Cricetulus griseus: one gene and its partners. The protein of the gene in region 2 interacts with the protein of the main gene of each other region in a biochemical or structural test. Links are inferred from orthologs where the notes say so. Each region holds a gene or a part of one and is shown on either strand. Other genes may lie near its edges.

What was found.
Region 1: of the proteins of Cops5 (region 2) and Cul4a, one has a biochemical effect on the other in vitro, tested with the Homo sapiens proteins (5 studies listed by BioGRID, with this or other methods). The link is inferred for Cricetulus griseus from reciprocal best matches to the Homo sapiens genes COPS5 and CUL4A.
Region 3: the proteins of Cops5 (region 2) and Mif form a complex in vitro, tested with the Homo sapiens proteins (2 studies listed by BioGRID). The link is inferred for Cricetulus griseus from reciprocal best matches to the Homo sapiens genes COPS5 and MIF.

Annotation. Positions count from the first base shown.
Region 1 is NW_023276807.1:67,672,686-67,676,643, reverse strand, and holds the start of Cul4a (cullin-4A), read left to right. Parts: upstream 1-1,158; 5' UTR 1,159-1,186; coding exon 1,187-1,334; intron 1,335-1,623; coding exon 1,624-1,739; intron 1,740-3,958. Other genes in the region: Pcid2 (PCI domain-containing protein 2), read right to left, coding at 218-253. UniProt on the Homo sapiens protein: Core component of multiple cullin-RING-based E3 ubiquitin-protein ligase complexes which mediate the ubiquitination of target proteins. As a scaffold protein may contribute to catalysis through positioning of the substrate and the ubiquitin-conjugating enzyme.
Region 2 is NC_048595.1:150,146,014-150,149,513, reverse strand, and holds part of Cops5 (COP9 signalosome complex subunit 5), read right to left. Parts: coding exon 3,417-3,500; intron 1,862-3,416; coding exon 1,733-1,861; intron 72-1,732; coding exon 6-71; intron 1-5. UniProt on the Homo sapiens protein: Probable protease subunit of the COP9 signalosome complex (CSN), a complex involved in various cellular and developmental processes.
Region 3 is NW_023276806.1:262,751,160-262,753,806, forward strand, and holds Mif (macrophage migration inhibitory factor), read left to right. Parts: upstream 1-1,269; 5' UTR 1,270-1,372; coding exon 1,373-1,480; intron 1,481-1,670; coding exon 1,671-1,843; intron 1,844-1,958; coding exon 1,959-2,025; 3' UTR 2,026-2,147; downstream 2,148-2,647.

The DNA of each region.
Region 1 (3,958 bases), on a different chromosome or scaffold from region 2:
TCGATTCTGCTACCTCCACCTCGAATCCTCCTCCGTCCCAGATCCGGCGGGAAGCACTTGCAACTTTTGAGCAAAGCCTGCTGCCCGCCCCATGCAGCAAACGTTCTTCACCTCAAAGGCAGCCGCAGACCTCCCCCCTCCACCGGTCCCGGACCTATCTGACCCAGCCCCAGAACCCACCCTCGTGGCCACTAAACAAGGATACCGGGCAACCCACCTGCTGTAGGTACTGGTTAATGGTGATGTGCGCCATAGCAGCGGCCGCGGGCGTTAAGCACCTCACTTCCGGCGCAGGTCCGTCTCAGCTCCTTGTCCCTACACTGTATTTCCCGCACGTTTTTGATTCCGGAACCGGTGGCGCAAACTGAACGAAGCTGGCCCGAGCACTCCCCTCCTAGAGCTGTCAGTGCTCGGGGTGCAGTCACTGAGGTGTCTCAGCTCGGGCGGGGGCGTGAGCAAAGGACGGGGGACTGACGTGGAGGAGTTCCAACCGACTTGGGAACGTATCCCCGCGTCCCGATCACGTCCTGTGTCCTAGCGACTCCCCGTGTCTCTCATCCCTTCGATCCTCACTTTGCAGAGACGCTCCCGGCTCGCACACCCTCAAGTGCACAGAACAAAAGTCAACCCCACTTGGGAACACGTCCCCGTGCTCTCCTAGCCCTCGCTGGAGATGTCCCCGAGTCCTCCCACCCCCTCACTGGGGCATCCCAGAGCAACGGGTGTGGAGTATCCGGTTGTCACGGAGCATCCCTGAGCCCTAGGTGTGGGGCTGCCCCAGAGGCAGGGTGGTGGGGTGCTCCTGTTCGCCCACGTCTCCCGGGTGTCCCCAGCCCTCGTCGTGACGTCGAACACCAAGCTCCCGGAACGCTCGGTGCGGGGTGTCACGGCGCCCTCTCGCGAGCATTCGTCGTAGAACGTCCGCGGGTGCCGAACCCTCCAGGCGCGGCCGCGTACGCCGGAGCCCTCACTGGGCGGAGTCCGCGCGCCCGAGCCGGATCATTCCGGTGCGCGCCGCGGCGGTTGGGCCTCGGGCGCGCGGACCGGGCCGCGAGCAGCAGGAGGAGGAGCCGAGCGCTCACGGGCGGAGCCCGACAGGAGGAGGAGGAGCCGGGCGCGCACGGACCGGGCGCAGGGCAGGAGGAGGAGCCGGGCGGCGCGGGGCGGGGCGGCGTCCGGCCCAGCCATGGCGGACGAGGGCCCGCGGAAGGGCAGCGTCTCGGCTCTCATGGGCCGCACCAACGGCCTCACCAAGCCCGCGGCGTTGGCCGGTGGCCCTGCCAAGCCGGGGGGCGCGGGCGGCTCCAGGAAGCTGGTCATCAAGAACTTCCGAGGTGGGTGCGCTCCGGTGAGGAGCGAACGGGGCGTCCGTCAGGTCGCGCGCTCGGACAGGGCCTCCTGGGGCTGCCCAGCCGGCCCTGTCCCCGCGCCCCAGCCCGCCTTGTTCCCGCACTGTCCTGTTCCGGCGCTCCAGCCTGACTTGTCCCCGCACCTCATGCTCCGCCACGTCCCCGCGCCCCAGCTGGCCCTGACCCCGCACCTCCTGGCTGGCTCTGCTGGGCCCTGCCTCGGTGCCCCGGCCTGTCTTGTCCCCGCGCGGCCGTTGACCCTCTCTCCCCACAGACAGGCCGCGGCTGCCTGACAACTACACTCAGGACACGTGGCGGAAGCTTCACGAAGCGGTCAAGGCCATCCAGAGCAGCACATCCATCAGGTACAACCTGGAGGAGCTGTACCAGGTGAGCGGCGGCGAGGGCCTGCGAGCACCTGGCTGTTTTCCTCCTCTCACAGCCACGGTCGCCGCCGATGCTAGGGAGGCCCGCCTGCCGGGGGGGAGGGGGAATGGGGGGAGAGGCTGCGGTCCGAGCCTTCCCTAGAGGAAGCCTCGAAGCCCTCGGTCAGCAGGTGTTTCAGTATATGGTCGCCCTGGATGAGTGCTATGTTGAGGCTTACATCGGGCTGCTTAGGTGTAAGTTTTCCCATCCCCAGGAGAAAGGAGGTGTGGGGGCTGCGAGCCACAGGGCTCCAGTGATCTCCAGTGTTATCAGAACGTTAGATTGTTACACATAAAACTCAGTATGCTAGGAGGATCCTTGTGTCGTCGTCGTCGTCGTCGTCTCTCCCCCCCCCACACACACTGTGGTTTAATTGTTGCAAATAAGGTTTGCAGATTCTGGTAGTTTTAATTTAAAGATAGTGTCTACAGCAGGAAAAAAAAAAAAAGGCCAAAAGTACATCTTGTTTTTTCAGGCAGACTTTTCTGTCGTGGTTTTATACAGTAATGTTCACTAAATAGTCTGTTTTAGGTAATGATATAGCATATATATAATTAATTACACTAAAGTCATGAACTTACCGGTTTGTTTTATCCTGGTTACAAAATGAATTTATGTAAGTTATAGAAAGTACAAAAAGAAAAGTAAGCAGTAGTACCCAAGGGAAATTGTTACAGGTTGAGCACTCCTGATCCAAAACTTCCCCAATCCAAAACTTTTAGCACTCACATGAAAAAAGATCCACGGCTGACCTCGTCTGACTGGACTCAGACAGAACACAATGTATGCTAAAACTGTTGTATAAAATTACTTCAAGCTAGGGCCAGTGAGATGACTCAGTGGGTAAAGCTCTTGCCGAACAAGCTTGGCAACCAGTGGTCGAACCTCAGAACCCTCAGAAAGGTAGAAGAAAACTGACTGCAGAGAGGATGTCCTTTGGCCTCCAGTCAAGCCGTGGCACAAGCACCCACACATAACGCATCATGCACACACACAATGGTAAAAATAAAAAAATAAAAACAGACCTTCAAATTGTGTTCAGGGTATATGAGATATGAATTAATTTTGTGTTTAGACCTGAGTCTCATTCCCCCAAATAAATCATTATGCATATTCAAGTATCAAATCCAGGAGAAAAAAAAAATCTGTAATCCAAAACACTGCTGGTCCCAAGCATTTTGGGTGAGGGGCGACCAACCTGTAGTGATAGAGTGAGGTACATGTGTCCGTTCTTTGTCTTAAGTTTGTGAGTTGATTGTGTATTGAGGGTGAAGGTTTTTTTAAGGTTTTTATTTTGTTTAGACAGGGTCTCACTGTATAGCCCTGGCTGGTCTGGAATTCACTATGTAGATCAGGTGGCCTTGAACTCTCAGAGATCCACCTGCCTTTGCTCCTGAGCTTTGGGATTAGGGCTTCACCTGCCTGACAATGTACTTTTATTATTTTAAGTATGTGGGTATGAAGTTTGGGGGCAGGCCTGGAGGCCAGAAGTATTAGATACCTCTAGAGCCTGGGTGTAAGTGGTTGTGAGCCTCTTGAAATAGGTACTGGGAACCAATCCCAGGTCCTCATGTACTCTAAACCACTGAGCCATCTCTCCAGACCTCTACCCCACTCACTTTGTCTTTGAGTGAGAGTCTTGCTACACAGTGCTGGCTGACTTAGTTACTTGCTATGTATTCCAGCCTATGTATAACTTACAGCAGTCCTCCTGCCTCAGCTTTCCACATGGTTGAATGTGCCACCATGCCCCGATAATTTTTTAATCAGCTTTTTTGAAGTGTAATTTACATATAACTTGTGCTCCAGTAGGTTTTTTTTTTGGGGGGGGAGCGGGGTAAGGGGAATTGACTGGCTTTATTTTTTAAGAGTTTCACTGTGTAGCCCAGGCTGCCCAAACTCAAGGTAATCTTCCTGTGGGGTTACAGGCTTACACTAACATGCTTGTTCCAGTAAATGTTAATGGCCTAATATGCAGTTGTTTTGCCACCCCCGCCCCTGAAAATGTAGACTTTTTCCATCCCTGACAAAGAACTACAGCTCCTTGCAGCCATCCCTTCCCCATCTCCTCCCTTGGCAGCCAGTACTCTGCTCTGGGTTACTCTGCCATTTCTATCTAAAAGGAATCTTGCATTTGCCATCTCTTGTTATCTGGCTTTTATTTGGAATAGTGCTTTGCAGTT
Region 2 (3,500 bases):
ATTACCTTTGGATATGTCCTAAAGGCGCCAAGATTCACTTTTCCTGCAGATATTGTTCTGGTTGGGTCAATCTACAAAAGATATATACTTAATATTGATCAAACAAACCATATGCTCACTGAGTCAACACCCCAGAAAACTACAACAAAGTAAATATAGCACTATATACTAACCAAAATTAGAAAGTTCAATGAAATAGGAATACTTCAGTTAATTTATAGATTAGAATTAAGTTATCATATCACCAAAGAATATTTATTTAGTATCATTAAGATATTCATGCTACTTGGCAAGACCATGTTTTAAAACAAACTGGGCACAGGCCTTTAAGCTCAGCACTTGGGAAGCAGACGCGGTGGATCTCTGAATTCAAGGCCAGCCACCTGGTCTAAAGAGTGAGTTCCAGGACAGCCAGGGTTACAGAGAAAAGCCCTGTCTTGAAAAACCAAAACCACCAAGCCAAAACAAACAAGAAACCCAATCAGTCAATTAATCAATCAATCAATCAATCAATCAAAGTAATGAATTAACTGAGAAACTACCTGCCCCTACCTGACCCCTTTAATAGATGAATAATTGTTAGTTTCCTCTTAAAGATCCTAGATTGCATCTAAAACATTCTGGACATAAAAGTAGACAGGATCTAGCCATTTCTGCTTCTCCAGTCAACCCTAATTAAATGCCTATTAAGTGTTGAGAAGCTGACAAAGGTTCTACCCTCATCTATAGGAGTGAGAGATGCAAGGAGCTTAAGAACATCCTTAAGTACAGTGATGCCAGAGAGTCATTCTTACCACACTGTTTTAATTTTCCAGTAGTCTTTCTTTAGCAAATATTCTTGAAAAACTTAATAAAATCTGTTTTTATAAAAAACAAAACAAAACAAAACAAAAAGCTGGGCTGTGGTGGGTATGCTAGCACTTGGGAGGCAGAGACAGGAGGTTCTCTGTGAGTTTGAGGCCAGCCTGGTCTTCAAAGAAAGTTCCAGGACAGTCTCCAAAACCTACAGAGAAATCCTGTCTTGAAAAACAAACAAAAAACAAAAACAAAAACAAAGTAAGCCGGGTGTGGTGGGTATGCCTTTAATCTCAGCACTGAGGAGGCAGAGGCAGGTGGATCTCCAGGAGTTCCAGGCCAGCCTAGTCTACACATCCAGTTCCAGGACAGTCAGAGATGCATAACAGAGAGACCTGTGCCCAGAACAACAAAAATTAAATAAAGTTAAATCCAAAACCAAATTTTGAAGGGCTGGAGAGATAGCTCAGCAGTTAGGGGTACTTGCTGCTTTAGCAGAGAGACCTATGTTTGGTTCCCAGCACTCACATAGTGGCCTCCAACCACCTCTAACTCCAGGAGTTCTAGGGGACCCAATGCCCTCTTGTGGCCTCCATCGACACCAGCCATATGTGGTGCATATAGAGGAGGGGCATCAAATACCCTGAACTGGAGTTACAGATGGTTGCCAGCCTCTGTGGGGGGTGACAGGAATCAAATCAGGGTCCTTTGCAAAAGCAGAGACCCCATTTCTTTTTTTCTTTTCTTTTCTTTTTGGTTTTCGAGACAGGGTTTCTCTGTGTAGCTTCGGAGCCTATCCTGGCACTTGCTCTGGAGACCAGGCTGGCCTTGAACTCACAGAGATCTGCCTGCCTCTGCCTCCCGAGTGCTGGGATTAAAGGCGTGTGCCACCAATGCCTGGTGAGACCCCATTTCTTTAAAAAGAACAAGTACTTACCACCACAGCCACAAATGGTTCCTGGAACTGCTGGTTAAGCATCTGTGTACTAACATCAATTCCAGAGAGCCAGCAGCCGTAACCAGGGTGGCTATGATACCAGCCAATTGCGTTTTCAAGGCGTCCAACCTAAAATATGAAAGAAAAATCTTGTTTGAGGTATGGTTTAATCTCACAGAAAGTGTCATTTACAGGCTTTATGTAGTAACACTACATAAAGATAACATCGTGTAAAGATTTTCTGAATAGATGATACATGTGTACAGTGTAAAATTATCAAGGTACAAGAACAAGGGTATTTAGTCTCTTTCCCATATCCTTCCCCCTCCTCTACCTGTTTCTTAGCTTAGATATTATCCCTCTATTATCTTACGTACTCTTACAGAGATATTCTATAGATTAACAAACATATCTGTAAATAGTTGCATACTACATACAACATTCTACTCCTAGCTACCTATATTTTAAACTGAACAAACAATTCTGGAACTGTTCCATGTAAGTAAATACACAGATAGCTTTTTTTGAGGTATTATATAATTTTTTTTTCAGATTTTATTTGAATTAGAAACAAGATTGTCTTACATGACAATCCCAGTTCCCTCTCCCTCCTGTCCTCCCCTACCAACCTCCTCCAACCTTTCTGTTTCCCCTGGATGGTGAGGCCTTCCATAGGGTGTCATCAGAGTCCAGATAGCTTATTTTAAGAAACTAATTTATTTTTATTTTATTTTGGTGTTTTTCCTGCATCTTTATCTGGGTGAGGGTGTTGGGCCCTCTAGAACTGGACAGTTGCGAGCTGCCAGGCAGGTGCTGGGAACTGAACCTGTATCCTCTGGGAGAGCAGTCTTTGCTTTTAACCACTGAGCCATCTCTCCAGCCCTGATAGTTGCTTTTTTTTTTTTTTTTTTTTTTTTTTTTTTTTTTGAGACAGGGTTTCCTGTGTAGCCCTGGTTGTCCCAGAACTTGCTCTGTAGACCAGGTTGGCTTTGACTCAGAGATCTCCCTGCTGCTGCCTCCCAAGTGCTAGGACTTTAGGCAGTGCATTCACTTCCACTGCCTAAAGAGCTTTTTTTCTTTTCAAGCTTGCCTACATAGTACATTAATAGATGCCCTGCCATTTATTTAGCTGGGTTTCTACTGAGGAATAATTAATTCCTAAATTTCTTATTTATTAGTTCATTAATCCATTCATTTGTTTGAACTCAGGGCTTAGGAAGGCAGACATGAGCTCCACCACCAGTTACACCTCCAGTCTAACTTCTATTGTCTAAACACAACTGACACTGACTGGAAATTTATTTCAGAAAGACACCCTCTCCCCTGTCTGCCACTATCTATATTATAAATCTCACCAGACTTTTAATATTTTACATAAAATTGTTAAATTTAAAATATGAAATTGAATGTGAAAAGGACACTTTTAAGTTCAGAAACCCAGAATCTTGAGATTCTTAAGAGTTATTAAAGTTTTTTTTTAAAGATCTTATTTATTTATTATGTATACAACATTCTGCTTCCATGTATATCTGTACACCAGAAGAGGGTACCAGATTTCATAACGGATGGTTATGTGGTTGCTGGGAACCGAACTCAGGACCTCTGGAAGAGCAGTCAGTGCTCTTAACCTCTGAGCCATCTCTCCAGCCCGAGTTATTAAAAGTTTAAGCAACAATATTTTTACCTGTTTGGCATTTTCTATGTACGCAGCCATGTACTCATATGCAGCAGCCTGAGCATTTACTCGGGTCTCAGTGCCTTCTACAGG
Region 3 (2,647 bases), on a different chromosome or scaffold from region 2:
GCAGGGTGGTCTGACAAGCTTCCAGAGCTGTGTGAAATCTCTTCCAGGGAGACAAGTTCCTCCTTTGGCTGCACCTGCCTTCAGTCTTTCTTTTCCCCCAGCCTGAGACTCCTGAGGAAATTCCATTTCCTTGGGAACCATTGTTTCAATAGTCTGGTAGCCAAACGGAGGGACACAAGTGTCTCTTTAGAATATCTTCATTTCTGCCAGAACCGTTATAGAACCTCATATAAACCTTGAAGTCACAAGACAAAACTGTCATTGCCCACACAGCATCCTTTTGACTGGTTGGATTTTTTTTTTTTTTTTTTTTTTTTTTTTTTTTTTAAAGGCAAGCTAGGAAAACACATGGAGACCCAAGATCCCAGTGACATTTCCTGGGCACCTGCCAGATGTCTGGCTTGTTCATGAGAAAGCTATACAAAGTCTACCAAGGGCTTTAATGAGGGTAATTGCTGGGACCTAATTTGAGCAGCACTTCCCTGAGGGCTGACAGTTGCCCAGTTTAGGATTATACCTTAAGGAGGAGCAGAACTGGTACCTTTGGCTCAAAACCAGTTCCTTGTGCCTCCCCTGGAGATCTCCAAGCATCCCCACTTGGTTGGAACAGCAAGGATGCAGGCAAGTAACTGGACGGTGACTCCTTTATGCCTCCTTCCCCATCTACAAGGAAGGACCTACATGAGCAGGATCATAGGTCGTGTGGACACACGTCCTGGGAGGCCCAGGACACACAAAGTCTTAGTTGAAAGTGGCTGTGTTGAAGGTGGCACTGAGCCAGTGGACCGACGTCTGACTGTTGGTACAAAACAGTAAGGAATGGGGCTCGGCCAATTTCACTAGCTTAGAGGAAGTTCCTAAGGCAAGTATTGTTCTTTCTCCAAGCACAAACCATCACGCTTTTGGTTCATTATTTGGAGTTAAATAGAGTCGGTCGGTTCTGGCCCATTGGCAGGCCAGATAAGGCCAACATGACTACCTACAGCACCGATCAAGGGCTGAAGTTTCCTCAGAAACAGAAATTTCTCAGACCTGAACCTGCTCCCGGTGTACCGTTAATCTGCAGCGTCTACCTGAAATGCCTCCACAAACTTAATCCTAGAGTCAAGTCCTTGCTACCTAATTTACTAAATGATACATTCTTCGTTTCTATCCGAGAAAACAAAGAGCAGAAGCACACCAAGCGTAGCAGAAGCACAGTCACGTCCCCGCTTTAGGACGTACCCTGACGCAGGCGGAGGCGGGACGAGGGGAGGAGCCGCAGCCGGTTTGGGGCGGTGCTGAACTAGGTCACGTAGCTCAGGTCCCTGGCTTGGGCCACATCCCGCGTCGCACTGTCCTCTACTCCCCGCTTGCAGTCCCCTCCGCCACCATGCCGATGTTCACCGTGAACACCAACGTTCCCCGCGCCTCCGTGCCAGAGGGGCTTCTCTCCGAGCTCACCCAGCAGCTGGCGCAGGCCACCGGCAAGCCGGCCCAGGTTTGCAGGGAGGGTACAGGAAGAGAGAGAGTGGGGAGGGAGGGCCCGTGCGCCCGGCCGCCGGGCAGAGGAAGAATGGGGATGGGAACCGCGGCGGGCGGCTGGAGGGCTGGAGGCTGGAGCTCCCCGGAGCCCTGTGGCCCCGTGGTCTTTCAGGCGGGCTAACCGCGCGTCCACCCCTCCCCCGCAGTACATCGCAGTGCACGTGGTCCCGGACCAGCTCATGACTTTTAGCGGCTCTAGCGACCCCTGCGCCCTGTGCAGCCTGCATAGTATCGGCAAGATCGGCGGCGCGCAGAACCGCACCTACAGCAAGCTGCTGTGCGGCCTGCTGGCTGATCGCCTGCACATCAGCCCGGACCGGTGCGTGGGGGTGGGGTGGGGTGAGGGGCGCTGGGAGGTGGGCGCGGGGGTCAGAGGGCGCCGCCACGCTCGCCGAGACCGCGTGTTAGGCTGAGCTAGGCTTTCATTCTCGCAGGATCTACATCAATTATTACGACATGAGCGCGGCCAACGTGGGCTGGAACGGCTCCACCTTCGCTTGAGTGCCGGCCTAACTTACCTGCGCCGCCGTTTCTTGGAGCCTTGCTGCACGCAGCGTTCTGTTTTCGTCCACCCCTGGCGACGCCCACCTTCCGATCGGGAGAAATAAATGGTTTAGAGACCACGGTTGCCTCAGTTTCTGCTTCCTTGGCTTGCGGAGGAATTGGTGCAGGGCGGGGACATTGAATGGAAGCCCAGGCTGCGATGGTGGGTCGGAGTTGGCCAGTTTGGCTGTCTCAAAACCAGTGGTCTAGATGTCCTTTCGTCCAGGCTTTCCTATAGTGGCCTTACGTCAAAAAGAGGTTCACTGGGGCCTCAGACCAACAGTCATACAGAACTTCCCAAGCAGTTGTTGCATCCTGAAATAGGTTCTCTGCTCTGGGCGGGAATCCCGAACTGTGTTCTTAATCACAGTGGCAAATGGGACGGCAATGTGCTTTCATGGGAGAGTGAGTTGCTCAGGCAGGAGAAGGGTGGGGATTAAATTGATAGACTCTTTGCCTGTGTTCTTCTCAGGCAAACAGCCCCCGACTCCCCAGTAGTTCCTAGAGAATGCATGAGAATGGAGTACTTTGTCTGTTTTCATGTTTGTTAGGGTAGAAAGGTCCAATGTGATTTACATCT